Linked DNA regions of Oryzias latipes. The protein of the gene in region 1 purifies or fractionates together with the protein of each later gene. This does not show direct contact. Links are inferred from orthologs where the notes say so. Each region holds a gene or a part of one and is shown in the gene's direction. Other genes may lie near its edges. The genes, in order: mapk8ip1, akt1, map2k7 and map3k7.

Region 1 (8,113 bases):
TCCATCTGGCAATCTGATGGACGAGTCTCGGTTTGGAGGTTGCCAGGAGAACGGTACATTTCCAACTGCATTGTGACAAGTGTGAAATTTGATGGAGGAGGAATTATAGTGTGGGGTTGCTTTACGGGACTTGTCTTGACCCCTTAGTTCCAGTGAAAGGAACCCTGAATGATCCAGAATACTAAAATATTTTGGACAATTCCATGCTCCCAACCTTAAGAGAACAGTTTGGACCCTTCCTCTTCCAACATGACTGTGAACCAGAGCTCACAGCAAGGTCCATAAAGACATGGATGACCGGGCTCTGTCTCTGACTTCATCTCCCTGGGAACCGAAGGCCACAGGCATGCAGTTGTGCGGAAAAAGCTAATTCCTGTGTCTGTGCAAAACAGTATAACTGTGTGTAATTTTCGAATGAACCTTTAGTATGCACATTGAATGTAACCATTACCATTATTATTATTATCTGCTTGCTCTTTGCTGGAGTAAAACATTAAATGATTTTGTTTTTGACTCCTGAGTCTTATTATAAAGTTTGTGGCATGTCTGGAAAACTAACAACATTTCTTTACAGTCCATTTTCAGAAAGTGTGCTGACAGTTTTATTTAAAATAAACTCAAAATTAAACAATGAGTCTGGAACAAAGTATACAGATATTTTTTAGATATTCTAATCACTGCCTCATAGAGCAAATGCTTTCCTTCGCATTTGTCTTTACAGTTGTAGAGTAACAGTCTGTAGTAGTGGTTAATTTTGTGACCTATGTCAGATGAATTGAAGACCTGGATTTAGCAGAAGATAAAACAAAGCACAATATAATATTAGAAGTTGGCACACAATATCGTCCTTTGTTGTTGTAGAGGAGCTGTTTCCCAATTTAAAATGTGTCGGGGTTTTTTCACAGATTGGTGTTTACGTGTTTTCTCGGTTCTTGTCATATTCTGTTTTCAGGTTTAGCATTTTTTCCACTGTCAGTCACAACAGATTCTAGTTGTTATTGTCTACACCTGTTTTTATTTAGTGAATCACCCTCAGTTTTTTTAACCGTGTGTGCTATCCTAGGCACTTTAACATTGGAGGTTGGGTCATCTAGACCCACTAGACCAGGGGTGCTCATTACGTCGATCGCGATCGACCGGTTGAACTTCAAGGACATGAGTGTAGATCGCGTGCCAGAAAATATAAAAAAAATAAAATAAAAAGTACTTCTTAAAAATCCACCAGCCATTCAAAATCCTCACTGAGAAGTACAGGACTTGATTGACATGTAGATTGGCCAATCGGACATCCTCTGATACATACGTCACTGCATATGCTTGTTTAAAAACACTGAGCGCAAACTCGCTGTCATCAGAAAGTCGCTTTCTGCCCCACGGCACGTCAAGTCCCCGGCAGAAGACCACTCCGGACAACCGGAGTGTTTATTGAAGCCGCCCCGCATGTCTCTTCCTGCTATCAGCTCTGCAGTTCTCGCCCGATAAATACGAGCTCATTAAGGAAGCTGTTTTTTACGTGGCATGCGCTTCGTACGGAGCTAGCAGCGCCTTTGAAATGCCATGCTCCCCCCATTGCACGGTTAACAGAGCATGACAAATGATAGCCGCTGCTTTCTGTCTTTGTAATAAAACGCCTAATCTGTTAATACAAAAGTATCTTTGTGTAATCTTACTGTGTAGTTCTTAATCATCAGTATATAAACAACAATGTTCAAATAAACATGTAACTAATAAACATAACTTACAAACAATTACTAATAGTATTTTATATATATATATATATATATATATATATATATATATATATATATATATATATATATATATATATATATATATATATATATATATATATACATACATACATACATATTTTATAGGTAGATCTTCAAGACATTGTCGATTCAAAAGTACCCCTGCACTAGACAGTGCGCTTAACCATTTTTCTTGAATGATTTGTGATCATCACTGGTGTCCATGGATTGCATGAAATCTTTCCACCTTTCTCATGGTAGGAATAACACGTCAATGTAAGGGTGGCGTCATCTAAGATAGCACAAGGATTAATTGTCTTGCTTTTAGTAATTCATTGTCAGATCTTCTGTTAGCCTTTTGTTTCTCCCTTAGTTTATAGTTTTGTCCTGTCTACCTTTATTTATTGAATGTTTATGTTTTTGCTACAAGCCTGACCTATTTTAGGCTTTTCCTCCACTGGGCCCTAAAACAAAGGTATGAAAGAGAATAAAACAAGACCTGAAGAACTTGTGACTCAGTCATTTCTAGAGTTTTCAAAATTATTAATTAATTATTACTTATTCATGAATGAAGAAACAGTAAGGGCAAATAAGGGATTTGGCAGTCTATATACTTAATTTGTGACAGACAGACTTTTAAAAAATCCAAGGCATGCAGCATTTTTATATATATATATATATATATATATATATATATATATATATATATATATATATATATATATATATGTTTAACCGTCCTATGTGAAAAATTCAACATTCAACAATATGGCTTAATTGCAGATATTTTTTCTGCTCTATTTGACTTTCTAACTTGAAGTTTTACTGTCAGATTTATATGTTTTTGGTATTTGTTGTTGGTATACCTACACCTTGCCCTGGGACAACAGTTGTAAATAAGTGTTGCAGCTAACGATGGCACATTTATAAAAATAGTAATGATTAATAATAATTTATTATTATTCATTTCTGACTTTTTTTAAAATAATATTATTATTAAATAAGGTATTGTTATAATTATTATCTATTAATTGGTCTAATAAATATAATACATTAAGTTAACAAAATAACTGGATTGCCTAGTTTAAAATAAAAACAAAAAAAAAAGAAGAAGGGGAAAAAAACGTGTATTCCTAAACACACCAGCGCAGTAGCGATTTATCCCACAGTCTCTGAATGCATCACTCTATCACGGCGTCGCTGCACCTTTCAGGTGTTTGTGCTTGAAGCAGAGTCTGTAGAGACATGACAACTCGCCGGCATGGCGGACAGAGAGAAGAAGAAAAGAGCCCCTGCTTCCGGCCGCAGCGTCCAGGTGAAGCCTTCTGCTAGCCGCAGGTGAGCGAACGAGCGAGCCAGCGGAGGATGGACGAGCTCCACGTCCGTCCGTGGGCGCTGGGGGGACGGCTGTTTGAAGAACAGCCATCCTGAGGGCTGCTGAAGCGGAATGAGTGGAGCTGATGATGCCGGGCTCTGACAACCAAAGTAGATGGTTCAGTGTTTGGGCGTGTCTGCTCTCGGGGGACAGAGCCGGTGGGGGCAGCGTTCAGCCTTCACAGGGCGAATGTCGCAACACGTACTTTTTCTTATCTGCTTCAGCTCCCTTAATCCTTGCAGGCCCGTGAATCAGTAGCTTTTTTTTTTTTAATCACACGTCACATCTTGTTATTGTGCATCATTTGCGTCCATTCTCGTATCACCCCACACTCATATTTTGACAAATTCATAAATCTAATCTGTGAATTTTTCCAGCGTTTTAAACAAGCCCAATTCATTTAAATAAACAGAAGTAGTTTGATGTATTTCAGAGCTACCTGGGAGCTAGAAGTGATGTAAATCTCCATCATTATGAAGCTGATTTGTTTGAGGGTCTGTTTTTTGCATGATTCTTATCTAATGACTTCATCATGTTGGCTTTACCAAATCAAAAGCACTTTAAACATAAAAAGAATGCAGAGAAGGTGGATGTGGGAGCTCCAACCCAAGCTTGCATCAGACAGGAGATCACACAGTTCATCTTAGCATTTAAGAGTAAACCAAATGCAAGTGTTGCAGTGTTGGATTACAAGACGAATGATCACAGATCTAATCCATATTCCCCAATGAGAGATGAAAACAAAGGCACACCCAGTGTACAGCCATTCCTTGTCCTACTAAGCTATACGTACAGACCTGGCATTTGAAGTGCATTCCAAATCGCGCCAATTGCTGTTTATGAATGTGTGTTTTATTCCACGGTGGCGCAGTGGTTAGCGCTCTTGCCTCACAGCAAGAAGGCCCCCGGTTCAAGTCCCGGCTGGGGGACATGAAAAACACAACATCAATGGTCGACCTTTCTGTGTGGAGTTTGCATGTTCTCCCCGTGCATGCGTGGGTTTTCTCCGGGATCTCCGGCTTCCTCCCACCTTCCAAAAACATGCTACATAGGTTGATTGGCAACTCTAAATTGTCCACAGGTCTGAGTGTGAGAGTGAATGGATGTGTGATTGAGGATATTCCACCCTGCGACAGACTGGCGACCAGTCCAGGGTATCCCTTGCCTACGCCCAAGTGGCCGGGATAGGCTCCGGCAACCCCGTGACCCCGAAAGGGAATAAACGGTAAAGAAGATGAATGAATGAATGTTTTATTCCATAGTGTTCACACTGGACAAGCAGGGAGGGGCTTCTTCTTATTTTTCTTCTTTTAACTAGTGCATGTTGGCTACACTTGGAGGAGGCTTTGTGCAAAATGTTAGAACGTTGCAAATCTCAGGAATCTTGGAGTCTAAAAAGAGGAAAAATAAATGACAATGAATTATGAAATGATGAGGTTGTGTAATAAATAGCACACCAAGAGACCTTTTTTAAAAATGTTGGAAAGAATTAGAAACTGTTCACAAGTTTCTACTTTGTATTTGCAAGATGTTTATCCATTAATAGAAATTTGATTTCTTTTCCATTTTTATGTTGGTCTTTACAACAACATTCAAAAGGCACACTCAAAGAAATCATTTCTGGAAAACCTATACTCCGGTTTGGATGGTTTGGCGGTTTGACTTTTGGGCTGGGGATACTGGGACTCTATCTGGCAAAGGGAATCTGCTGCACAGAGCGTAATAAACTTGCCATAGTTAGAAAAATCTTTGATACTGACCAGATCTGTGTTTTCTTTCAGTATTTTTTTTTTCTATTGAGGTTTGAACTTTCAGAGTTTACATAAGAGAGAAAAGTGTGAAAATGTTAATATTTGTCTGAGAAAGTCTATAAAGTGTGTATTGAGAAATTTACAGCCTTAAAACATCAGTAAACCTACTTTGCGGATTAAACCCATAGAATGTGGATACATTTATTGCGTGGGGGACCCGATAAACAAGGGAACACCTTACTTACAATCAGGTCATGGTTTTGAGAAGGCGAAGCTTTTTTAAAAAAAAAGCACAGTTAAAGTTAGGTTTATTCTGAGCAAAGACTTTTGGAACAATCCTCTCAGGACAACAAGAGAAATTGTAGATGTTTAGAAATGCAGAGCAGATGTGTGATTGTTGGCTATTTGCTGACTGAAGCACAGCAGCACAAACAACTTGGACTAAAACTGGTCCTTCTTTAAATGCATCACGATTTAGACACAAACGAGTAAGAATTGATGCAAACAATTTAAATATATACATATTTGTGGAAAGTTGTTTTGCAACTAACTGAAGAGTTATTGCAGTTAATACCATTATTGTCTGAAAATTTGTATTCAGCTAATTACAATCTGTAAAGGTGATAGACGTGTATTTAAATTAGCTTTAGACTCCTTACTATATCACATAATGTTAAGTTCAAGACAATATTGTGTTTTTTCCACCAGCGCTTCAAAATCAGAACCTTAACTTAGAAAACCACATTCTCATAAAAATGAAAACAAATGCTTAGAAATTTCAGTGGACTGATGCCAGAAATTCAACATACCACATATCAGACCAATAATTTCAGACTATAGGAGATCAGAAAACTACTATATCAGTCTGTTTGAGCTATTTGTTTTATAGGTTTTTAAAAAATCTAGTTGTAGGATGAAAAATAATTTTCTTTATATTACAACAATTCCAAATGTTTTCACATTTTTTCTCATATCAAAATTTGTAGAAATTTTAATGTAAAATAAATTCCCACAACTTTTCTGTCAGATAATATTTTATTATTTAATAAACAAAAGTTCTAATTTTTTCATTTCAGTTAGTAGGCATATGAAGACAGTTTTAATGACAATAGTATTTTTTTAATTGAAAATTTAGGAAATTAATTGATGTGATTCAAGCTAACTTTGCTAAAGGGTCTATATCAGGGGTCACCAACCTTTTTGAGACTGAGGGCTATTTAATGGGCATTAAGTGGTATGAAGGGCGCCACAGGACCTGTTTGCTAAAAACCTCCTAGCCCCCCCACACACACACATTTTTGCATGCCCTATTTTTATTTGCTCATTTTACACACAAAAACATGCATGAATTTTCTAGACTCGTATTACGTGGGGGTCAAACTCAGTTGCATAGGGGGCCTAAATCCAAAACACATGGGCAGTGGGAGCGCCAATTCACAAGTTTCAGGTCGTTCAATACTCTGCCATATTTTTCACGATAGCAGAACTAAAGTGCATTAATTACTAATAGCAAGCACTGAATCACCATCCTCTACTATCCAGGCAAGAACTGTTACGCCCGAGTCTTAATTCACTATCCTCTTTCTTAGTAGCAACCACACTGGACATGTCCCAATCTGCTACCTGTGCCCAATGCAAAGCACAACCCCGGTTTGTTGGGAAGGACACTCACATAAATTAGCGGACAATCATATCTGTCCGTTTATTTTGAACACAACCACCACCAGCCAAACAGCATTAACTTTACTTCTGCTCACAGCTCCCTCACTTATGGTGAGCAATTTAACACAACTAAGATTCCCCACTTCCCATGAGTCTTAAAAGCTAACCCCCAGATCCCCACATTATATTGATTTGCTACTGCATATGAGCAGTGCTATTTTTGGAGCATTCCCATTAAATTATATTTAACTTTCCAATCATTTTTTTACATTCTCGCTTTAACTGGGATAATGATCTTTGTGTCTTTTGTGGAAATGATGTAGAAACTGTGGAACATCTTTTCTTTGAATGTTTCATGTAAAAGAGTTATGGTCTTCTTTTCATAATTGGCTCAAATCCAAAAATATCATCATTAACCCTTTAAATTGGAATACAATTTAAATTCGATTACAATTAATTGACAAAAATCTGGACTTTCTGATTAATGTACTGATTGTCATTTCAAAGCATTTTATTCATACTTGTAAATTCTTAAAGGTGAAACCTCACATTAATGGATTACTCAACCATATCAGCCTATTCTCTAAATCTTTACATTACATGAATCATAAGAATGCCCAGACATTGTGATTTATTTGATCTATTTAAACATTTGTAATATACCCTTATTTTTATTGATTATTTTTTAAGTTAATTTGTTTTCATATTTTTTTTGTCTACCTTTATCTCAGAATTGATATTGTTGTCATTGACAGACGTGCCGTGATTGTTTGTTCAATATTTGCTTCAATTAAAAAAAAAAGAAAATGTTTTTTTTGGTGCATTCCCTGCGGGCGCCACAAGGGGTGGTGACCCCTGGTCTATATCATGCAAAATCACTTTTTGAGCTTTTATGTGTAAGTGTTATAATGTTCATTCCTCACGAAAAACAACCCCAAAGCGGTACACTGATCCGTTCACACATTTCTGAGTATTCCTCTAAAAACCTGCGCTCTGAACAACAGCTTCTCCCAATCCATGAAAACCAGTTTGTTCTCACATTGTGATGTGTATAAGTAAACAACAGCTCCTTCTAGGAAGAGTCTGTGCTGCCAGCAACGCCCCCCGGCCAACACACACACACTCCCTTTCTACACGGAGTTAGTGGTGATCAGCTAAAATGCTTCCATTTTACGCACAATCTGCACATCCATCTTTGCAAAAGTTCAGATGTTTGTTTAATTTTTTGTGGGCCAAACAAAGACACGCTGCCGAGGCCCATTCTAGTTGCTTAAAGAAGGCTTAATGACAATTCATCTGTTGACAAAAGGGCAAATTTGGCATCCAATTGATAATCAAACAAGTCTTTAAACTGTGATTATTTTTTTCTTACATTACCTATTATTAATACAATATATAAATCTGAGGGATTTGTATTAATGATTTGTATCCAAATTCTGCTGAAAAAAATGTTTGCTGCAGACTCCGAGAAACACACATAACATCAAAAATGTGCAAACAAAACAGTTTGTTTTTTTATCCCACATTCCAGTACATACTTATAGAGACAGTGTTTATTCATTCATTTGTAGCCA
Region 2 (8,018 bases), on another chromosome or scaffold:
GGCGGAACAGAAGGTTTCCACACCTGTGAAATAAACTGAGGTCCATGGTCCGACACAATGTCACTGGGAATGCCGTGATGGCGAAAAACTTGGTTAACCAAGATGTTGGCGGTTTCAGTAGCGGAGGGGAGCTGAGGAAGAGGGATGAATTGTACGGCTTTGGAGAAACGGTCAATGACTGTGAGGATTACCATATTGCCTTGGGATGGTGGTAGTCCAGTCGCAAAATCCACAGCGATGTGGGGCCAGGGACGACTGGGAGCAGGAAGGGGCAACAAATGTCCAGAAGGTGGAGAGTTGGAGGCCTTGGAGCGAGCACAGGTGGTACAGGCTGCAATGTATTCGTGGACATCTTTCTCCAAGGAGGGCCAAAAAAAAAAGTCTCTTGAGTAGACCAATAGTCCCCTCAATGACAGGCAATCTGGGATGCATGTCCCCAGGTGAGTACTTCTGACCCAAGAGAATCGGGAACAAACAAAGTTCCAGGAGGGTATGGTGCATGATTGGGTCTCTCACCTTGGGCTTGTTGGACCTTGGTTTCTATGTCCCAGGTGGGACTGCCCACAAAACAGGAGGTAGGGATGATGGTAGACTCTGTGGTGGATCCTGTGGTGTTGCATTTTCTGGAGAGCGCATCTGGCTTGACATTGCGGCTTCCAGGACTGTAGGTAATGGTAAAATTAAAACGATCGAAGAACAGGCACCAGTGGGCCTGACGGGAATTCAATCGTTTAGCACTTCGTAGATTAGCAAGATTTTTATGGTCTGTCCAAACTAAACGGTTGTTCTGCCCCCTCCAGCCAGTGACGGCATTCTTCTAGTGCGAGCTTTATAGCCAACAGTTCACGGTTCCCGACATCATAATTTTACTCAGCGGGGTTGAGTTTGCGGGAATAGAAGGCACATGGTTTGAGTTTTCCAGATGAACCCTCAGGTTGAGAGAGTACGGCCCCAACTCCGGAATCAGAGGAGTCGACCTCGACGTTGAATTGTTTCTGGACGTCAGGTTGAATGAGTATAGGGGCGGAGACAAAAAGTTCCTTGAGTTTAGTAAAGGCAGTGTCAGCTGCCGGAGTCCAAACGTATGGTCTATTGACAGAGGTGAGCTCAGTGAGGGGTGCTGCAATGCTGCTGTAATTACGAATAAATCGCCTATAGAAGTTGGCGAAGCCCAGGAACAGTTGTAATTTCTTTCGTGTCTCGGGGATCTCCCAAATGGTATGGGCTTCGATTTTGGCTGGGTCTAGTCGGATGTTACCAGCCTCAATAATATAACCCAAAAAGGGAACGGTGGAGACATGAAACTTACATTTTTCTGATTTAACAAATAATTGATTTTCTCATAACCTTTCCAAATGAGATGGACATGGTGTTTGTGTTGTGTTTGATTGGTAGAGTAGATGAGATTATCATCTAAGTAAACGAATACAAATCTTTTGAGGAAGTCACGGAGAACATTGTTTACAAGCCTTTGGAATACTGCGGGGGTGTTAGTGAGTCCGAAAGGCATGACGAGGTATTCGTAGTGGACCAAAGGTGTATTAAAGCCAGTTTTCCATTTGTCGCCTTCTCGGTTGCGAACCAGATGATAGGCATTATGGAGATCTAACTTGGAAAAAAATACGTGCCTCTTTGACTGAATCGAAAAAGGAATCAATGAGTGGAAGTGAATACTTGTCTTTTACTGTTATTTGGTTTAACTCACGATAGTCAATGCAGGGTCTTAAGAATTTGTCTTCTCCACGAAGAAGAAACCTGCACCGACCGGAGAGGATGTGGGACGGATGTGACCCAAGGAGAGAACTTGCTGGATATAATTCTCCATGGATATTTTTTCAGGACCTGACAGATTGAATAATTTTCCTTTAGGGAGGGGTGCGCCGTTAAGAAGTTCGATAGCGCAGTCATACGGCCTGTGGAGTGGCAAGGCGCTAGCTTTGGTCTTACAAAATACCGATTTAAGATCATGTTAGCAAGAAGGTACTTCAGACAAATCTATGTTTTCTTCAGAATCAGGTTTGGATGTAATGGTGGACGGAATAGCAGAATGAAGGCAATTAGTCATACAAAAGGTACTCCAGTTGGAAATGCGGAGAGTAAACCAGTCAATATGAGGGTTATGAAGTTGGAGCAAGGAGCACCCCAGAATTATAAGGGTCTGAGGAAATTGAGTAAAAAAAAAATCTATGATATTCTCTATGGTTACCGGAGGTGAGAATGAGAATAAGTTTGGAACGATTCGTGATCCGGGAAAGTTGTTGACCACCTAACCCGGCAGCGTTGGAGAGTCGAGTGGCCCGGTGGGTAACGTGAGTTGTTTAAGGAGATGCTGATCGATGAGGCTGTGTTCAGCGCCAGAGTCAATAAGAGCCCTATATTCGTGAATGAAAATTGGGGAGAGATTCTACAGGAACAAAAATAAATTTATTTTCTTTGGAGTTTTCAGAATTATCCCCCCGTGGCCAGTCATCTAACAGGGGGTACTGGAGTTTAAACGGATGGTGCATTGTGATACTAAGTGACCAGAGTTCCCACAATAAAAGCATAACCCCTCTTTTAGAATGATAATAATATTGAAAAAGTGTCAAAAAATGTATACTGTATGTAATAAAAGTAAATACTTATGTGTAGTGCATGAAAATAAGGGGCATAAATAAAATGTACCTTTTTTTATATATTTTACTGGAAAGATCAAGTTTTTTCCACACCAAGCCTTGCATATTTATCATTCTTGACATTTAAAGTCTTTACTGATTTATACGTATTTTAACAAAAAACACATTATTTGTTCCAACCAGCTTTATATTTGTTTAATCGTCCTATCCAACTGCTTTATATTTGCTATAAAAAATAAAAATAAAAAACAAACACACACACACACAAAATTGAGACAAAAACTTATTTATTTGGTGACATTCATGCATTTATTTTTGATTCACTTTTTCCAACGTGTGCTTTTTTCATGTTTATTCTGTGACAAAGACTCTCAGCATCTTCCTCTCAGCCTCCTTCCTCCTCATCCTATTTTCTTTTGACAATCATCCTTCAAATTCTGCACTTTCACTTCTGCCCTGGACCTGTTGTTTTCTCTGAGTGATCATACCAGCAAAGATTACAGCCACAGCAAATTAACAAAAATGAATCACCACTGACTTCCTACAGTAAATCAATCTTGAACAGAATCTCATGTTCCATGAAGTGAATCAAGTCATTCATTGCAGGAAGGACCCCTTCAAACATTAGCGGGACCTCTGGGGGTCCAAACACCCGCTTCACCACCAGATAGAACACAGAGGAGTTCATCAAGTGCATCCAGACCTCGCAGACCCGCTCCATTAAAAAAAAAAAAAATCATTTCTCCCAAACGGGACAGCAGAGATCCAACGGCTCGTCTTGTGGAGCTGATAAAAGACCAGCGCTAGGACCCGGGAGAGCCGGGCCGCCACAGAGGCATTGCAGACAGCGCGTTTGGGAGGTGTAGTGGAAGAAAGGCAAGAGAAACGGAGTAAATGAGAGACTTCTGTGCACATTGTTGAAGGACTTACCAACTCAAAATACCGCCGAAACGGCCCACTGTAATGAGACGGACACGCTGTTGAGTTCCCGCACAGGTAAACGGCCGCGTTTTCCGTCGCGTGGTTAAACTGCAAGAGGCCGACAGCCAGACAGGGTAGGTCCCCATTGTACTTACATGGGATGCGGTTATTCTCACCCAAGCTGCCCTGCTAGGCCCCATATCCTTTTTTTATCCATTGCGAAGTGAAAACCCCCGAAATGAGACACTTTTATGGCTCTTTTTTGTCGCCGTAGAATCGCCGCGTTCCAGTTTAGGGCTTATGAACTCGTTGTGGTTTTGCACCAACCGCAGAAAGACACTTTTTTCAGACGCTAATCATTCATTTTTCGTTTCTTTGTGAAGACTCACGGAAAATATTGACGTAATTGGGCCTTAAAGAAATAAAAGAATAAATAAAAAAAGTTGAGTCCAAACTAAATGCTCAATAATAGACAGAGCAGCTCATTCATTGTTATCTATTAGCACTTTGTTTACTGCTTCTTCTTCTTGAGCTCAGAAATGCTGCCACACATTTCAGCTTCAGCTATTAAAGGTTTGTTTCTATCACTGTCAACAAATCTTTGCTGGGAATTGTCACCCTGCACTCTTGAAAACGTGTCCTTTCAGTCATTTTATGTTTTTTGGCCTCTGGCTTTCGGACACCAGGGAGGTCTCAAGGAGAGGCCTCAACTGTTATTTTCATGTTTTCCTCTCCAGTAATCAGTTCAATGACATAATGCTTGTTTTTATGGTTTCTACTGCCCTCACTGTCATTATTCCACCTACAGCGATGACTGTTACTAAAAGCATCCCATTTAGCCAAAGGTAGTTTATTTTCTTTTCTTTTTTTTCCTCCCCAGCAGTCTTATAGATGTGGAGGTGCTGCACATGGGAACAGGACAGCCTTCATGGAAGTGTGAAATCATGTTTGACTTCCGTCTCTGGAAGTTTCCAGAACATTGTCCCCAGGCGGGCTGTTCTCTTGAGTGTCAAAGTTGTTTTGTTGGTCATGAGATTGCATTGCCTCAGTTTGTGTACACAAGGGGACGCGACATGTGACCCCCGGAGAGGACGCAACAAGCTGGCGTGGTGATGCAGCCAGTGACTGCTGGGCTCTCCCTGTTTTATTTAGAAAATACCAGCAGCCTCCCACCCAATGCCCTCGCAGCTTCATTGACGCAAATGTGCCACCGGTTGCATGCTGGATCAGAGGGTTGTTGCTTGAAACGTTTGGTTTCTGCAAAAGAGACTCCCAGATGGTCCAGGCTGTTGCGCAGGTGAGTCAGGTTGCCTTCAAATTGGCTTCTCCATCGTTTGATGGAAAAAACAAAAAAACAAAAACAATCACATCAGAGAAGAGCTCAAAGTTGAGCTCTGAGCTGCATCTGTACACTTCTGCACAGCCTGTCTGGACAGCCTGAAAGTGAAAACAGTTCTGGGAGTCATAAAGGGTTTGCTGTTCATGTCATCACAGGATTAAGCTTCTTGCTTGTCAAGATTGCTCCTACTGTGGTTTGGTATTTAGTAACAACTACTCCACTTAGCCTTAATATTATTATTATTGGTGATGTTATTTTTTTAAGGAACCTAAAAGAGGAACGCTGTACGGTGTAGTAGATCACACCAATGCCTGTTCCTATTGTGGCATTTAAAGCACACCAAGCATTGCCTCAATGTTTTCTTTTGCCAGGATCAGGGGAGAATGTTTGATCTCGTCTTTCTTGTAATGATTTCAAAAAAGAGTACTGTTCTACCTGTGTAACCACAAACCAGCTGCCAGGTTTTGCTTACTAAAACGGAAACAGAAAAATGAGGAAAACCAGATTTGAATCTATTGATTTGGAGTGAATTTGGTGGTGTCTTGATGACTGCTTGTTTTTTCTTTTTTGCTTCCTGCCTCTAACACATGGGACGGTTGTCTCTGTCCTCCCAGTCACAAGCAAACTATTTGACATCTTTTGCTTCATAGCACTGATTAGTATTGAAAGGGGTCCCCCCCCCCCCCCCCCCTCTCCCTGCAAAGGTTTAGATAGAAAAATGAATGATTGAAAGCGTCTCTGACATCAGGGCAGCCAGGCAGGCGGTGGCCCACCGGACTGCAGATCATGTGACCCGCTGTCAGGGTACTGGGTTCATTCAGTGGCTGCTGGCTGCAGCCCAGCTTTTCCACACAGCAGAGCCGCAGCAGCGACAGGTCGCTCCCGGTTTAAAAACAGCCAGATCTCTGTTGTGGCTCCAGAGTCAGACTTGTGTGCAGTGTCGCCATTTTGGTTTGTGCGACGGCTCCCGGTCTGTATGAAGGTATGAAAGCACGCATGCCGGTGTCACAGAGTCCGCCTTAAGATGCTGACGTGATCCCAACTGCTAGAGTGATTAACTGCGCTCTGTCTGTGTGCTTTTTACAAATCCACGTGCGCAGTGCTTCACACGGTGGCTGTGTGGGACAACACCAGCCACTGTGCAGTAAACACAAGCGGCGGCTTCAAGAGACTTCGAAGGTTTAGTCAATGATGGAAGTGAGAATGAAGCTGCAATAACAGACGCGCTCATCAGATATTAAATGACAGATGTTATCAAGCCCCGGGGCAGTTCTGATATGACTCGTAGGCTGTCGAGTCACATTCACTTCCTGTTGATGTCAAATAAGCTGGATGAGGTTAGCCAGGCAGATCTCTTTCGATGTGAGCAGGAAAAACAAAATTGATTCCCATCAATAGTCAGAAATTGCCTTGTGCAGGACATTACATTTGTGTGTGCAGTCATGGCAATTGAACCTTGTTGATGTCTCTTGCCTGATTCAATGGTGTCTTTATGAAATAAAGAAGGGGTAAAGGACCAAAAGGTCAAGTGTTTTGGAAGGGTTGGCCTTCAGCTCGTTCAAAGTGTGTTCTGTGGGTAACAGATAAGTGTGATGGAACTTAGCCTTTTGTGTCAGCTGACTGCAGTTTCACCATGTCTGTTAACACTCTTAGTTTTCCTTTAAGTGTCCTTCAGTCTGAATGCTGTACTCTGAACACAAAACCACTCTTATTCTCTGAATGGGATGCTTTTCGGTTCCTTATGAGTACTAATGACGACCGACTTTTATAGTAAATGTTTAGTTTTCAATTAGGTCATGTGATTCTTTGAAAGGTGATGGCATTCCAATGTGAATTTTGGTAAATCTGATCAACTGATCGTTGACCTGACTCCAGATTTTGAGGCCAACTTCTCTTGTTACATGGGATGAAATAAATCCATCAATTATTTAGCCGAAAATTATATGTCTTATTGATGCCATCTTGATGACACCATAATTCATAAATTGCCATGCTTACTGAATAATAGTAAATATCAGTTTGTAGAACAGATCTTGAGTTTTTTATTGCTGTTTTTAATGAAACTTTAACTGGTTTAAATGTAAAGACTTGGGTGAGCTTATGGCTCCTTGTTGTGATTTTATCTCACAAGATGATTTGGTATAAGACGGGACTGTGTTTAAAAATCAGTCTTCCTTTAATCTTTAATATCAATTCATCAAATAAATATAGCAAATTTCTTTTAAACTAGTTTCTTTGATAGTTTTTGAGGTTTAACAGCTCTTTTGGTGTAAAAATATACATTTTCAAAGGTATACTTTTGCCCACCCTACTTTTTTTAATACATATTCCAACAAAATTGGTTTTGGAATACAAATGACTAAAGATTATGTATTTGATCAGCTTAAATCCTGAATTTTTGAATAGAAATAAAATCATTTTTTGTGCATTGGTAGCGTTTGTATCAGAGAAAATGACAATAACGCAACAAAACAATGAGTCGGAGATGAAGGCTTATTACTTTGAAACTTCTTCTTTGACATCAGAAGCCAAAGTGATGTTATATGTAAGCATGACATTTAGTTTAGTGGCAGTTTTGTTCTTCCTGCTATTGTTTTGCTCTGCCATCTTAACGTTGTTAACATTTCCCATGTTTGAAGTTCCCATAGAGGGCTTCATAGTGATACGTTTAGCACAAGCGTTGGACACTTCCAACGAATGGAATTTATACATAAATTAAGTTCTTTCTTTTATCTCAAGCATCATGTAACCCAAAACAAATGAATTCTGTTGAGGCTGTTTGTAAAAATGTCCGAGAATGACTTCATTTCTGTTCAGGTCAGAGTTGAAAGGAAAACTTCTCGTCTGTCGGGAATGGCTGTGTTGGTGAACAACATGGAATTGTCCAAATAGAAAGACTTCATTCAGAGTGGCAAAAACCACGGCCTTGGATAGTTATTCAAACCTTGAGATGCAGCAGGTTTCGCATGTTTAGGGATCTCTGTTGCAGCCGTTGCATGTTCTCCTCTAATTGGGCCGTAAAGTGCAAGGAGTTTCGCGATTCCACCGCCTTCCCTCGATGATGTTGACCTGAGGGTTAATATTCAGACAAATGAAAAAAAAAATATTTTACTGCAAAGTGGGGCTAATTTTTACTTTTTCTT
Region 3 (8,013 bases), on another chromosome or scaffold:
GAAGACATTATGATAAGAATGACGGTACCACGATTTAGCTACAGCTAAATCTGTTTTCTGAAAAGTCCCGCCCCTTTAACTGTCTCCACCAATCATTCTTGGAGGCTTAATCACATGTCATCAGTCTGACCAATCAGAAGTGGTTAAAGTCTCCACTTCCTTGTTCTGATTCTGCTCGTAAAGTCTCTCAGTTCCAACAAAAATACCAGCTAAAGCTCGTCTTTAGCGGTGTAGCTTTCCACAGAATCCGGTGTCGGACCGTGGAACAAGTGAACAAAACAATGAAGATCAGAGAAGAGAGTCTGCCTGCGTTTGGCGGATTATTGCACTACATCTCCCATAATACATTGGGTTAAAGTGACAACGTCTCAGCGCACAATGAGTCCTTTGTTAAACGTATTGAAACAACAACGAACACATCAAACAGTTTTTAAATCTTCTAACTTAACTTTTATTACATCTTTTAGAAAAAACAGCTGCAACTTCCAGCTTTTTCTGCCACAATTATCATAAAAATGCACGTGAGACTGTGGAGGGACTGTAGATCAATACAAACTGAGTTTTTCCTTTTTTTTTGGATGCTGGTCTGCCGCGGGATTTTTGTCAAGGTTAGAGTGTGCCGTGGCTCAAAAGAGGTTGAAAAACACTGATCTAGACTCATTGTAAAAAATAAAGATTTCATGGAAAGTAACCTGGACTTTGGGAGCTAATGCAGCGCCACCTCCTCTTCCTCCAGAGCGTGGACTGGGAGGCGCTGCTGCAGAGGAAGGTGCCCCCTCCTTTTGTTCCCTCCATCCGCGGCAAAGAAGACGTGAGCAACTTCGACGAAGAGTTCACCACCGAGCCGCCGACGCTCACGCCGCCGCGCGAGGCCCGCTCGCTCACGCGCAAAGACCAGGACTGCTTCCGGGACTTCGACTACGTCTCTGACCTCTGTTAGGTGACCCGACGGCCTCTCCTGGTCGCCCGGCGTCCGCCGCCTGTAAACCTACACTGTGAATGAAGGCGGCGTCCGTGTGTGTCTGGGGGGCGGGGTCACCTGTGCGCCTGGCAGAGGTCATTTCTCTCAGTGGCCTCTCATACCAATGCCTTACGTTTTTACCCGTATTTATTCCTTTTCGTTCTGTGTCCCTCCGTCTGCAGCAGGGGGGGTAAAAGGGGGGGGGGCACACAGAGGGCAGCCTTTTATTTAAAGCTATATCAAAATGATGAAGTGAATGATGTAACTGTGTGTGGGGGGGGAGGGGTTAAAACCACTCCACAAACTGTTTTATACACTTGTGCTGCTTGGATTTTACGACAGCGGCGTGCAAAAAAGGGGGTTTGTGTTTTAAATTAGGTTTTTTTTTCATTAAATGAGGAGAAATGAGCTCAGCAGAAGTCTGCACCCAACACTAAAGTCGGCGAGTCTGAGACGCCGTTTTCCTGTCGGGTCTGCGTCGGCAGAACCCGGGTTCCGGTTCCCGGCGGCGATCCGGAAAGGCGAAAGCCAAACAAACCTCAGCTGTATTTCTGCAGAAAGTCGGAGCGCACAGCAGAGTTTTACGTGTGAATCATGAGACGAAAAGAATGAGAAACGTCGGAAACAGGATTAGGTTTTCTAGTGAGGGAGCCGGTTTTACTTATCTGGTGTACGACGATGCAAAAGCGTTTAATGTATGAGCTGACTTCTTTTATAAAGAAATTCTACCGTGACTTTTCTGGTCTTTTTCTTTTTGCCTCTGAGTGTTTATTATTATGGGAAATAGAAGTGATGAAATGTGAATTAAGCAAACAGTTTGGAGTAATTTTAAGAAAAAGGACTGTAAAATAAAGACTAGAAGTTAGCCCAACATTCTGGGAGGTTTTCTTTTTAAATTAACAAAAAATAAATGAATAGGTTCAGAAAAAAGATTTAGTTTAAGAAAAAAATTCTAGTCACTAAGACGTGTTTTCTCAAACTAAGATGATTTTGCTTTTGAAAAACTTTCTTGATATAATCATTTTTCCTTTAACACAGACATTAAGAGATTTTTTTTATTTTCTTAAGATTCTGCTTTTGCAGTGTAGAAGTTAAACAGTTAAAACTCTAAATCACTTTTCTAGTTTCTTTAACATCTAATCTTCAAATGTTCTGCCATGAAAATCCACCTAAAGGTTCAAAAAGTTCATATCAATAATTCTACCAGGATTGTTTATACATTAAAATTTCAAATAAATATTAATTTCATTTAAAAATGCAGTTCTTTGTGCAAAAATATAATCTCAGAGTACTTTTGTAGTTTAAAATACTTTACTTGATATAAGACCAACTTTACCAGTAGCTGATGAAATCTTAAATATCTTTTAAAATTTTCATATTTGTAAGCCAAAGCTTAATTTTTGATGGTGAGTGGTTATTATGAGGAAGAATCTGGCTCAGTTAGAGGAAACTCGACTCCAAAAACAGCAAAACTGCATTTATCAGGAGCAGGACAGTAAATAAATATTCATCACGTGAAAGTTTAAAGACAAATTCATCTTAATGTGGGATTCTAGTAATTTTCTAAAATATCTAGAAATATTGATAGTTGGACTGTTGTAGTACTTAAAATAGAAATTAAATCTGAGGGAAACGTGTATAAATACAGCTTTACTTTAAGGACAAAAGGCTCTTTATTTCTCAGCAAGAAGGCGTTGGTTCAAATCCCGGCTGGGTGGCCTGAAACAGAATCACCAATGAGGGACGTTTGCATGTTCTCGTGTGTAAGATCATAAATATCATTCCTATTATGACTTTCCTTTTTAATTTTTTATTCATTAAATTACAAAATAATTGAGTTCAACTTTTTTAAACGTAGATTTGAGCTTAAAAGATTGTATTTTTATCATTTGCCTGGTAATGAATACTTTATACTGTAATTATATGACAGTCTAGTATTTTTTATTCTGTCTTAGTATAAAAAATAAAATGAGTTTGTCATTTGTGTGGCAAAATGACTCTAAATTTATTGATAAAAGTGAAAAACCACTAGAGAAAATGCAGGCGTGTGCACCCACAGGAACGCGGGGGGGGGGGGCCCCTTTTGCCACGTAATAAAGAAATTCCCTGTTTTTTCTTTTTTTGTACTAACGTGAATACATTTCTATTAGAAAATCTCCTGATGTTCTGATATGTGACAGAATATGAATAATAACTGCAGAATCCTCCCAGCAACAGTTTTTGATAACACTAAGTATTGTAAATAGTTTCAGCATTCTGGCGATAGAAGTTGTTGAAAATCTGATTTTAAAATATTACCATCTGGATTAAACTTGATTCATGATTATTATGTCTGCAGCACAATGTGCCAACAGAAAGAGCCTCCAGTGTTTTATTGTTTTGACGTCTTCCAAGTCTGTGATAAAGTGAACAAACTCATGTTGACAATAATTTGTTTACATAACAGAAATGACAATTGTTTCACTTTCACCCACAGTAGCAGAATTCTTAAATCTATTGGTAGTTTATTTTAAAATTTGACTTAGTTTCAGTTTTGATTAAAGGACAAAATCTGAGCTTTTGCTGCCCTTTTCCAACTTCCATGTGCTCCTGATTCCCAGTCAAATTTGGCTGTTTTTATGCTTCACATAAAGGTCGTAAGCCATCCCTTTACCTGAAATTGTGTTGTCAGGAAGGTGTATTATTATCAACATTTTTATTATATTTACATTTTTTTATTTCTTTGGAACAAAAAAAGAATCCTTGAATAATGTCTATGCACAAACAGTGAAAACTCCACAATTAGAAAAACTTTTTCCGTTGGCTAACAGACAGAAAATCTCTAAAACTGGGTAGAAAACGAGAAAAGAGTACAGAGCAAGAATAGTGCCGCGCGGAGTGCTGCACGTGCGCGGAGGCTGCAGCGTGTGTAGGTTCGCTGGTCTCATTTGTACGTCGCTGGCCCCGCCCCCCGCCCCGCCCTGCCCGCCGGAGATTGGAGTCTGCTGGGAACTCCATGGTGCTAAATTTTTCAAGATGTCGTCGCTGGAACAGAGGCTCTCGAGGATCGAGGAGAAGCTAAAGCAGGAAAACGAAGAGGCCCGTCGGAGAATTGACTTGAGCATCGACATGAGTCCGCAGCGATCACGCCCGAGGCCAAGTGAGTGTCCAGCGGGGGTCACTGGGGTTCGGTGACGGCCAGAACAGCGAGGGGAAGATCGGAGAGAAGGGGTGGGGTGGGGTGGGGTGTATGAGGGCTGTTATGCTACTCCATGCTAAAAGCTACATGCTATCATGCTAACTACGTAAACAAACATGAACAAGAATAATGATTTATTATCGTCAAAGCGCTTCTTCAACAATCAAGGCAGCTTCTGTTTTGGGTTCTTCACTGGGAGTGTCGGTGACGGCGGTGTGAAGTATAACCGCGGTAACCTTGTACCGCAGTCCGTTTTGTTTCTGTCCTGTCAAACATGCTAAGCTAACGGGCTAGCTCCGCATCCATCGCTAGGCCTGTAAAGTATTCAACGTTGTTTACAGCTTTTCACGCGAATGTGCAGAAATGCCACTCATGCCGTAGTTTCATTGTTCTTAAAAAACGTCCTTTTATACTAGTTTTTATTTCTAAAAAGCTTGTTTTCGATGCCATTTTATGTGTTCCTAAGCAGGCTAATTCGATAAGCTAGCTGCGTCAAACAGACGTCAAGTTTGATTTACTCGCAGCTGAACGGTTACACGTAAAGCTGCCGTACTTTGTTTTTCCTTTAGTCTTTTTATATTAAAATAATTAAAGCACAAATAGCAGACGATTATCAAAACTAAAGACAAGAAGAAAATGATAATAATCTTCACTTCGTACATACTATCAGTCAAAACAGTCAGTTGTTTCCGCTCAAGAAAAATAATTATTGACAAAAATGGGAAGCCTCTTGGATAATAAGAGGTGAAACGTCTTCCAACTTTAAAAACTAAGTCCAGATGACAGCCCCTAAACCTACTACTATAAATAAAAAGAAGGGTTATCTCCAGCTTCTATTTTTTTAAAGAACTCCCTTTGACTTCATTTGTTTTTGTAGGGGTTCTATCTTAAGATCTAAACCTTTAAAATTCTGTAAATAAGTTTGAGAATAATAAACCTCAACCTTAAGTTTTTCACTCTGTTGTGACACAGAAACAGAATTTATTTGAAAATTTTCTTCTGAAGAATGAAGGACATCTGAACGTGTTCTTCGGACATATTTGCTGATTTTAGTACTGATCGTCAGTCGTTGTTATTTATGTTTCAAAGTTTTGTTCATACATTTCTCATCCTTTTTCTCCATGCTAGTGAGCCTCGATGCATAGTGGTTTTTCGCACAGACCTCTGGTAAATTCCTCTGAAAAAATGGCCTAAATAGTGCACCACCCGGCAGGGGGGGTGAATTCTGAAAAGGCCTTGGAGCGAAGCTCCAGTTGAGATGTTTTGGTTTTGGCCAACAGTGGAAAAAGTTGCACAATATACTTTCATTTGACATTATTTACGTTAAAATGGCATGATCTGTCACTACTGTGGCTCTGTGGGATAACCTGGACTTTTTGTTTTGTCTTATGGAGTTGCTTGGCTCTTCGTGTTAATATTTAATTTCCTTTTTTAATTCTATTTCTTTCTAATTGGGATCAGAAACATTGGTAGTGTTGTGCCCATGAAGGTTTTGTGCCCGTGTCTTCTCATTGTTTTGCAAAAAAGAAAAAAAGCGAAAAGCTGAAGTGTGTTTTATTTTCATGAGAACATGATGAAATGTGGAAGTGTTTGCTGTTTCCTGTAATGTGCGTGTGTGTATGTATATTTTCTTTCCTCTGTCTAGTCATCGTGATCCAGCTCAGTCCTGCTCCAGCCCCCTCCCAGCGTGCAGGTATCATTCATTCACCTCTGCCACTGCTCCCCACCACCTTCCAGCCCTCCGTTCTCTGCTCCGCTCTCCTCCTCTCCATCACTTCCTCTCCATCTCATTTCAAACATCCAGAGAAACATTCAGCTCAGCCAGGAGCTTTAAAGCTCCTGACTAAATATTTACTTCTTCTTGACATTTTTATGTGCTTTTATTTCTTCTATTTTACTGTGTTTAGAACGATGGGATGGGATAAAACCTTTTTATTGTTAATTTGTCAGATAAAAAAAAAAACTTTTCTCCACTTTATCAGAAAATATTTCCCCCCAACATGTCACAGCTCATCAAAAGGTTGCACAAACTCATGCATCCAGTACTTTTCCACCGCTGACATTTCAACCCTGCAGTTCTTCATCCTCCACTTTCTCACCCTTCTGTGCGTCTGTGCCAGTGGCAGGGCAGTGTTGGTTCGCATTGATGTGTTTGTGTGCTTCAGCACACGTGGAGGACCATTAACATTTGTTCTGCTGGAGGCAGAGAACCCCCTTCTTGTGCATGTGGCTTTGTTTTGTTTTTTTGCACGGCGTCGTGGAATGGGTTGTTTTTGTTTGAGCGTCTCTAATCCAGCATCCCCACCGTTCTGTCTGCAGGAGCGGGGAAACCTCCGCCTGGTTTCCCTTTCTCGTCTGTTTTCCTAACGGCACAGCTGAATGTTTTCCTTCCTGGTTCAGTGTTTCTGACTTACAGCTACGTCTTGCTATGCAGTTTTTTTTTATCTACCGTATCTCTCTCACTTTGGACTGTTTTGATGTTTTTTTTCCCCCCTCATCTCCTGGCTCCTCCCCTTTTTTGCAGTGGCGCTGTGTGAGCAGGAGGCGGGCCTGCTAGCATCTGTGTTGGTCCGTCCGTTCCTCCTCCCATCTGTTTAGAGGCTGTCAGAACTTTGGAGATGAAAATCTGTGCCGACGGCCGCTGGCGTCTGCCCGTCACACTAACCCCCCCCGCTTCCTTTCACCAACCATTTTCCCCGAACAGGCCGACCCGTCCGGGCCGCTCCTGGACCCAAACACTGGTGCTCCTGGCAGAGCCCTATCTCACTCGTGCAGAAAAACTCTGAGCAGCAGGAAGTGACTGCTAGCAGACATTTAGTCTAGTCATACCTCTAGTATGCAGTGAGACCGCGTCACTGAAGGGTGTAAACACAGATTCCACTGGACATGATCATTATTTGTGTTTGTGTGGCTGCTATGGGGGTAACCATTGATCGATGAACTGTAGATGACTTCCCGTTGAGGCTTAATGTGTATTTTAAGAAGCTCAGCCTGCCTGCATGGCTTTAACGGGATAGGAAGTCCTTACACGGCAGAAGGCTTTTGCTTCTTCGATGTGGACGTACCAAAAAATTCAAACGAGATAAAAAAAGAAGATACGTTTGGCTAAAACAGTAGTTTTTTAGGTAATTTAGCTGAAAGCAAAGGTCAGAGTAGCTGTTCTGGGCGGAGTTGTGCCGTCGTCCAGCGGTGCTGGAGCCATCTTTAGGTGTAGCGTTTGCAGCCTCTTTAGGACTCTAGAAGATCTATAGCAGTGGTCCCCAACCTTTTTCAGGCCACAGACCAGTGTTAATGTCAGACAAACATTTCACGGCCGGGCCTATATGAGGCTGAAATGGGCCTTCCGTTTCTTAACTTTTGAGGGTAAAGTTTGTCTTCGTCCTCTGTTAAATTTCTGCAGCTGCTTTAAACTTAATCGTTCACTAGATTTCCTGTAGGAACCATTAAAATGTGAAGAAGATTTTCTCTTCAAAGTTGAAGCTAAAAATCAGACGCCAACTTCAGCCTCGTCCGACTTTTAGGGGAAAAAGGGTCACTACAGCTGGTATTTTCTAAATCTAATAATAAACTTGAATCGACTGAACAACTTTATTAGCAGCAGCAGCATCGCAACATTAGCTGCCAGGTGCTGAGTATTCTGCATTATTATTATTATGGTCTGTGGAAACAACTGTCAGAATTAATTCATATTTGGAGTAAAGCCTCCTGGCTTTTGTCTGGTCGATACAGCTTTCTTTCTGTTTCCTCGCTGGATTATTTCAGCCACAAGAAACTTTCCTATTATATTTATGTTGTGTTGACTCTCCCAGCCCGGGGGTTTCAGTTTAGCGCTCGTAGCAGCCGCTTTATGAAGGTGTCAAATGGATTTTCGACG
Region 4 (7,343 bases), on another chromosome or scaffold:
ATCCATAAATTAGTCGCGTCACTGAATAAGCCGCAGGGCTGTAAGCGCAGGAAAAAAGAAGCGGCTTGTAGTCCGGAAATTACGGTAGTTTTTTTTTTTCTTTTCAGTTTTAGAAAGGGCCTGCTGAACATAATAGTTTTGTGTTTTTATCTGAGAAGTTTTTTTTTACTGCTTTTCAAATATAGGTTAGAGGATTTAGATAATGGAAATTGTTTTAATATCGCCTTCATTTTTATAACTGTGTTTTGTGTTGTTTTTTTGTGTGCCAAACATGCAAACAAACAGAGCAAAGACCTGAAATGTCCATGTCTCTGTGGTCTAAGTTGCAGTAAACTGATGCTGATTGGTTTAGATTCTGCTCTCACACACCAGCAGTCAGAGAGGATCACTTTGAAGGAGTTTGCTCGTGAAAGTATTTCATGTTTCACTAAGCAGTCCTTTAAACGCTCTGAAGTGGGATAAAAGCTCTGAGCTGCTCTGCTGATCAAATGTTTTGCCTCGTCTCCACTGAAAAGTCCGGTCCGGTATTTTGAGCTTTTCCGTTGTAAACTGGACCCACTAAACAGTACTGAACCGTACCTCTTGGGGAAACTGAACGGGTGAGCTTGAGGAATTGTTGTTGCTTTTCTAGTCCTCGTGCTGCAATGACATGCTAGCAGTCTGCACCACGCATGCGCCGTGAAAACAAACCGATCAGTGGAAGTGAGGTGGAAACACTCACCAGAATTAACTGGACGGTACAATACCACTCCTTACCGGACCTGACCGTGCTCGGTGGAAACGAGGCTTTTGATGCATTTTGGTCGAATTGTGAGGAACGTTTGCAAAAGTCTGTGGTGACCTTTGACCCAGCCTGGTTCTGCTGGACTCCTGCTGTGTGTACCCGGTGTGGTGACTGTGTTTCTTGTCCACAGTGCTGCATGGTGCTGAACCCCTCCCCTGTTACACTGCCTCCCATGCCATGAGTTGGTGTTTACAGTGCTCCCAGGGCGTGGCCTATCTCCATGGCATGAAACCAAAGGCTCTCATTCACAGGGACCTCAAGCCACCAAAGTACGCTCCTCCTCCTCTTGCTCTTCCTCGCGTCACACACTCCCCCGTCTCCTGCTGTACCTCACTGTACTCCACTGTTTTGTATGTTTTCTCATTACACCTCATCATGACCTTTCACTAGAATTCAGCACCAAAATTTACAGATTTTTACGACTGGAATAAAACTTCAGTTTATCTGCTTCCTATCCTTAAAATGCTGGAATTTTATTGGTTTCAAGTATCAAAAGAGTTTTAAAAATTCCTAATTATTCCAACACAGATCACAAAGTAAGGAGTGTTGTATCAGACAGCCGCTGTAGACGTTGAATATCTTTACTCTCAGTGAGATGATGCCAAAAATGCCAGTAGTTGTCCGTTTTCTTTTATTGTTCTCTTCAGACTACGGCTGACCGAGCAATATTTAATAAGAAAATGTTGAGAATTTGGTCTCTGCAAGTCACTTTGAATCAGTATTAAAAGGGGTTTGTTTTTCTGCAATGTGCACCCCCTCTAGAAAATCTGGTTTTGTTTTCCTTTAATTGTACAGGGGACATAAAAATGTAAACACACCACTATTAGAATATTTATTCTAATTTTTATTCTAAAAAGAAGAAAATTTCACTTGTTGGTCCAGACGATGACATCAACTCATTGACATGTGTCTGGCATAGTGCTCCTCATGGGTGGGGTGGGGTGCAGGGGGGCTTTTTTTTTTTTTTACCTCAGATAGGGATCAAACAAAGGCATGGGCCTTATAATGGCAACAGAATTTGACCCTTTTTTTAGGTAGGTCCTCGTTGGGTTAGACGGGTCATTTCTTCTGGTCCGAAACACGTCTGCTGTCATCAGGAGTCTTCTAAAATATTTCTGTTAAGCACCTGTGTCGTAAGTGTCAGACAGTCATCTAAGTGATCAATATTTTCTATTGACTAGACAAAGTATCGTCACACCATCCAGCCCTGCTGTAGAGTATAAAAGTACTACTTCTGAATAAACTTGGTACTACAAATAAATTACCTAGGCTGAATGTTGGTGGACCTTTAAAAATGATTAGAAAGCCAGTGTTTCTAATCCAGAGTCACCACTGCTGATTCAGATAATCCCAGTGATCCCGTCTTTGATAATCCATTGCAATCTTTTTAGGAGGAGTGACTGATACTCAGTCGTTGTTGGCCTTTGATTTTTGTAACTTAAGCTTTACAACACTACTTCTTCTTCTTTTCGTGCAAGAGTTGTTGCATTTTTTGGTTTCGGCCACCACAACGTGTGCATGAAACGATGTTCCTCTGGAAGCATTGGCTCATTTCACGCTGACGATGTAGAACCTTCTGCTCAGACGAACATTTTTCCTCAGTTATCACAACGGTTCTGCAGATGAGCATTTATCATCTGTTAGCACGTGTTCCGCCGTCTTCCTCACAGCCTCTGTTGGTCCCTGCTTGCAGTCTGCTCCTGGTGGCTGGAGGCACCGTGCTGAAGATCTGTGACTTTGGAACCGCGTGTGACATTCAGACCCACATGACCAACAACAAAGGCAGCGCGGCGTGGATGGCTCCGGAGGTGTTTGAAGGCAAGTGTGGGAGGGGTGGATTCTCCCGGGCCGCCCTCAGTTCTTTCCTCGTTCTCGCACCTGACTTTGCTTTGTCACCCTTCACCTTAATTGCGTCCTAATGTCTCAGCGGAGGCGCATTAATCAGCGACTCCTCACCAGCTGCGGCGCTCTTTTTCTTTATTGATGGTAGTCTACCGAGCGTGGCGAGAAGATGAATGGATTAATGCTGGTCCCTTTATTTCCCCAAGGAAACAACACTTTGTGTTCTAATTCAGCCAGGAGCCTAATGTCTGGCTAAACGAGGAGCTGCGTTCCTGCAGAGGAGGGAAGGAGGGAAGATGAATTAGTGCTTAGTCATTATCTTGTTTTGGGAGGCAAGTTACAAGCCTCCAGTGCAATTAAGCCGCTCGCTGCTGCCCTCTCTGTGAACTCTGAGCTGCTAATTTGCATGGGAGCTCCCAGTGCAGCCGCTTTGAAGGATCTTTTCTGATCTGCTCCTTCATTTTGCAATAAGATACTCGCTAATGAAGCAACACAGGGGCTGTTCCTAGGCAAATATTGCCCCCCCTTCCCTCTGAAGGAGAGATGAAATCAAAGCTCCCCTCTCAGCAGCGGCGTTTCCTCTGCGCTCACAGGCAGCAATTACAGCGAGAAGTGCGACGTCTTCAGCTGGGGCATCATCCTCTGGGAAGTCATCACCCGCAGAAAACCCTTCGACGAGATCGGAGGACCGGCTTTCCGGATCATGTGGGCGGTGCACAACGGTGAGTCTTTCAGAGGCCTCGCCAAGTCCACCAGGAGAGCAGATGAAAGACGTGCCGCCATTTTCAACGTCTCTTCTCCATTCAGGGACCAGACCTCCGTTAATTAAAAACCTCCCCAAGCCCATAGAGAGCCTGATGACTCGCTGCTGGTCCAAAGACCCCTCTCAGCGGCCCTCCATGGAGGAGATCGTGAAGATCATGAGTCATCTAATGAAGGTGATCCATCTGTAAATAAAGGAGTTTTTTACTGATGTTGTGTTTGGAAACAAAAGAAGCTGACAGGACCTGAGGTTCAGTCATTAATCCATCATTTTTTTCTTTTAGTTTTTCCCTTTTCAGTCATAAACTGACACATTAATAACATTTTCAGACCTTTAAAAAAACTTTTAGGTTTTTTTAAATTTTTACTTTAAGGGTTAAATGTGTTCAGAGCTTTTACTCTTTTCAGCTCAACTCAAATTCAAGAAATGAACCTTTGTTGTCAAATCTGAAACGATGACTCATGAAACGTCCAGTTTTGTTGCAGGCTTTTAACCCGATTGTTTCTTTTTAAATTTATTGTAGTATTTCCCAGAATCGGACGTTCCTCTGCAGTACCCGTACCTGTACTCCGATGACGGACAGATCAACTCTGCAACAAGCACAGGTACCAAGCAAAGCAGGTCCACGTGCAGAGCCCTGAGGAGTGCCGAGAACAAACACAGAACAAACGGTTTTGAGCTCTAGATTCAGTGTTTAGGGCTCAGATTAGAAAATGATTTAATTTGATCCAATTCAAATCCATAATCTAATATTGTTTTGTTTGCTTTTGAGTAAATCTTTTGTTTTTAATTATAAGCAACTCTAAACGATACAGCTTTAGACAACGGCTCATAACTCTAGTTTTGTTTTTTGCTGCAGAGCTACATAAAAATTAAAATCCATTAATAAATCATTTCAAATGTCTTTCAAAAATAAAGGTCCATTCAAAACAAATGAATGTTGGGAAATTTACAGCAAACCCTTCTGAGATCTCTGCATTTAGAAAACCAAACCGAACATTTACCATTCTGTTGTTTTTTTCAAAGTGGTCTCTTCTGTTGTGCGAAGAAAAAGTTCATTCTTAGAAAAAGCTTTCCAGACTGTTTCTAACTTCCTGGTTTTGAGGACTGAAGTCTTTTGAGGGATCCTGGAGAACTGCAGAGCTTCTGACTGTCTTTGCTACAGTATTTTCTGAGTTGAGGGCTCTGATGTGAAGGAACCCCCCCCTGTCTGCTGTTTGTCCAGTTTCATATTTGGACTACACCAACACCAGCAACAAAAGTGACGCCAACATGGAGCACAGCGACTCTCAGGGGAGCAACGACACCATCAAAATCACGCCTCAGTTCCCGGCCTTCAAACCAAAGGTGCTGCTCCCTTCCTGTCCTTGAACCCTGATCAGGGGGGGTCGTCAGACAAGTGAGGCTTCTCCTCTTTTCCTGCAGGTAGATCCTCTGAGGTCTTTGCCGTTGTCCAGGGGGGGCAGCGTGGAGAGTCTGCCCGCTCGAACTCTCTGCTTGGGTGACGGCAAGAGGATGAGTGCAGATCTGTCAGAGCTGGAGCCCAAGGCGGCGTTTGCCCCTGCAGGTATGAATACAGAGGGGGAGCGTGACCCCCATGTGCTGCTCTGGATTCAGGTTGTTGTTGTAGCCTCCTGTGCCCCACCCTGACCCTTGGATCTAACCAGCGCAGAAGCAGGGGGGCTGCTTTTGTGTCGCACAGGCTGCATGTGTCTGCGCTCTGCATGTCTGCGGCGACCCCGCCCGTCCGTCTGCATGCTGGCAGCTGTACGTGTGTGTGTGTTTTTGCAGCAGCCACACAGTTTAGGCGAGGCCACCGTAAAACGGCGTCCCACGGAACCATTCTGGACGTCCCCAAGATCGTCGTCACAGGTACCTGTGGACCAGTGGGCCTCCTGGTGATCGGGTGGAGCCTTTTTGGGTTGCTGTGGTGGTTGTAGCTCTGCTGTGCGTCGCTCCATGTGGTGCTAAGTTTCTACCCAGCATTCCCTCTGTCTGTGCTCCTCATGGAGTAGCATGCAGCAGAGTCCTGCTTTGTGTTTCCTCTGGCTTTAATCTGGCAGAAGCAGAACTTAAGCTCCCCATCAGTGCTCAGCTCATCTTCCTCAGATGCTGATGAAGATGACTGCTCTCACTCGTGGCTGCTTTCTGTCATCCTGGAGAAAATCAGTTCCTCACTCCTGAGCTTTGTGTTTGTCCTCATCTTCCAGCGTAGAGGATTTCCTTCCTTCCTTCCTTCTGGTTCACTTTACAGCAGACCTACATGGAGGAGAAAAGCCCACACTGTCACTCAGATTGAGTTCTTTTGCATGAAGTTTCTTCCTAGATCAACTTTTATTTTTAGGAAAATTGAAAGAAAAGCCAGATGATCAAATGTAGACGATGTCTCCAGTGTGACAGACTATGAGGCTGAAAAATGTCCTCCAGTCACAGCCATTGATTTCAAACACATTTCATCTCTTTAGTTGCTGAGATAGAACTTTATTCGGTTTGATGTGGAGAAGCGGGCAGAAAGCTTTTAACGGCTTCATGAGACGCTGAAGCAGAAGAGACCCTGACCCAACTCAAACATTCAGTCTGATCAAACCAGAAATCCTCACTCGGACACAAAAATCTGCAGATTTATCCGCCTTACTGTTGCTTTGGATCGTCTTCCACTGGGAGGACGGGTGGGTACGGGTGCGTCAAACACAAGTATTGTGTACGTCACAGTTCTGTGTTTTGTTTGTCTTCATGGTGTGTGTGATTGTAGAAGACTTGAACCTGGAGATCCGGAGCTCCAGACTCATTTATTCCCATTCTGGCCTCTCATAGCTTAAAATGCTAAAGATTGCCCCCAAAGCGGAGTATCATAGATCGCATATGTGTCACTTTGTGTCACTATATGCTGTTGATTCCAAAACATTCAAATGAAACCAATTTTGGTCTGCAGAGGGGGATGTTTTCTGCATTGATGAGGTAAAAAAGGAGAAGGGAGCAAAGACGGATGCAGTGATGATGGATGAAAAAGGCCAGATGAAGAAGAGGAAACGTGAAAAAGTCTGTTTTCTGCTTCAGCTGGTTCTTCAATCTTCTGCTCCGTCATGTCAGAGGGAGTCTGGAGCTCTGTGGGTCTGCAGTGAGTGCTGTGCAGCTGATTTACTGCCTGAAGGGCTTTCATTGATGCTGATTGTCCATGGAAGCCGTTCTTCTCGGGATGATGTGACCTCTGACCTTAAACGGGTGACTCGGCGCTCGGCAGCATCAGACGGAGAAGGTTGCTGTGCTGCTGATGGACGTGCAGCTTATTCCCCACAAATCTGAATGTTTTATTCCTTAAGAGGCATTTGTAGGACTGGATTTCTGAAGTGGTCTCACCCGTCTGTCCTCATGTTACCCCCCCTTCCCCCCCTACAGCTACGTGTGAGGCTCAGAGGCGTCGTTCTGTGCAGGACCTTCCAGCTATCGTCAACGCCGAGTCCAGTCAGGTAAAGTTTGGCACAGAAGAGGTTTTTTATTTCACACGTTCTTAATGAAAGGATCAGAAATGCTGTCATGCTCAGTTTGAAGCCTCAGCTCTCGCGCTTCCATCCTACAGGGAAGCAGGAACAGCAGCCGCTCGTCCAGTCCCAGGATGATGCCGGCCGACAAACCCAGCAGAGGCTACTTCTCCCCGGATGACCCCACAGGTAAATCAACGCATCCTGCAGCACTCCGGCCCGTCTGCAGATACCAGACTCCATCCAGGCTAACAGGACAAGGCGTGCGGTCATGTGACCCGGGGATTTGTGTCGACTTAGTGGTCGTCATTGGATACCATCGTTGTCCAAATTGAGAATATTAGCTGGATTCAAACATTTGGAGCAGACCTTTTACGCGGGTAAAATGTCCACGTGACCACGCCCCATGTCAGAGGTTTGTGTGTTAAATGTTGACAGATCGTCTTAATCCTCCCACAGATCAGAAAGCAAGATG

The links.
Region 2: the proteins of mapk8ip1 (region 1) and akt1 purify together in Homo sapiens (affinity purification with western blotting; 3 studies listed by BioGRID). This does not show direct contact. The link is inferred for Oryzias latipes from reciprocal best matches to the Homo sapiens genes MAPK8IP1 and AKT1.
Region 3: the proteins of mapk8ip1 (region 1) and map2k7 purify together in Homo sapiens (affinity purification with western blotting; 3 studies listed by BioGRID and IntAct, with this or other methods). This does not show direct contact. The link is inferred for Oryzias latipes from reciprocal best matches to the Homo sapiens genes MAPK8IP1 and MAP2K7.
Region 4: the proteins of mapk8ip1 (region 1) and map3k7 purify together in Homo sapiens (pull-down; 3 studies listed by BioGRID and IntAct, with this or other methods). This does not show direct contact. The link is inferred for Oryzias latipes from reciprocal best matches to the Homo sapiens genes MAPK8IP1 and MAP3K7.

The regions. Positions count from the first base shown.
Region 1 is NC_019861.2:7,594,814-7,602,926, reverse strand, and holds the start of mapk8ip1 (C-Jun-amino-terminal kinase-interacting protein 1), read left to right. Parts: upstream 1-2,927; 5' UTR 2,928-3,012; coding exon 3,013-3,089; intron 3,090-8,113. UniProt on the Homo sapiens protein: The JNK-interacting protein (JIP) group of scaffold proteins selectively mediates JNK signaling by aggregating specific components of the MAPK cascade to form a functional JNK signaling module. Required for JNK activation in response to excitotoxic stress.
Region 2 is NC_019880.2:14,664,806-14,672,823, forward strand, and holds the start of akt1 (RAC-alpha serine/threonine-protein kinase), read left to right. Parts: upstream 1-3,417; 5' UTR 3,418-3,670; intron 3,671-8,018. UniProt on the Homo sapiens protein: AKT1 is one of 3 closely related serine/threonine-protein kinases (AKT1, AKT2 and AKT3) called the AKT kinase, and which regulate many processes including metabolism, proliferation, cell survival, growth and angiogenesis.
Region 3 is NC_019859.2:2,775,552-2,783,564, forward strand, and holds the start of map2k7 (dual specificity mitogen-activated protein kinase kinase 7), read left to right. Parts: upstream 1-3,931; 5' UTR 3,932-3,976; coding exon 3,977-4,100; intron 4,101-5,784; coding exon 5,785-5,832; intron 5,833-8,013. Other genes in the region: pkn1 (serine/threonine-protein kinase N1), read left to right, coding at 737-940. UniProt on the Homo sapiens protein: Dual specificity protein kinase which acts as an essential component of the MAP kinase signal transduction pathway. Essential component of the stress-activated protein kinase/c-Jun N-terminal kinase (SAP/JNK) signaling pathway.
Region 4 is NC_019882.2:20,580,179-20,587,521, reverse strand, and holds part of map3k7 (mitogen-activated protein kinase kinase kinase 7), read left to right. Parts: intron 1-914; coding exon 915-1,053; intron 1,054-2,477; coding exon 2,478-2,602; intron 2,603-3,219; coding exon 3,220-3,348; intron 3,349-3,433; coding exon 3,434-3,564; intron 3,565-3,912; coding exon 3,913-3,994; intron 3,995-4,614; coding exon 4,615-4,736; intron 4,737-4,814; coding exon 4,815-4,956; intron 4,957-5,180; coding exon 5,181-5,261; intron 5,262-6,785; coding exon 6,786-6,856; intron 6,857-6,966; coding exon 6,967-7,057; intron 7,058-7,343. UniProt on the Homo sapiens protein: Serine/threonine kinase which acts as an essential component of the MAP kinase signal transduction pathway. Plays an important role in the cascades of cellular responses evoked by changes in the environment.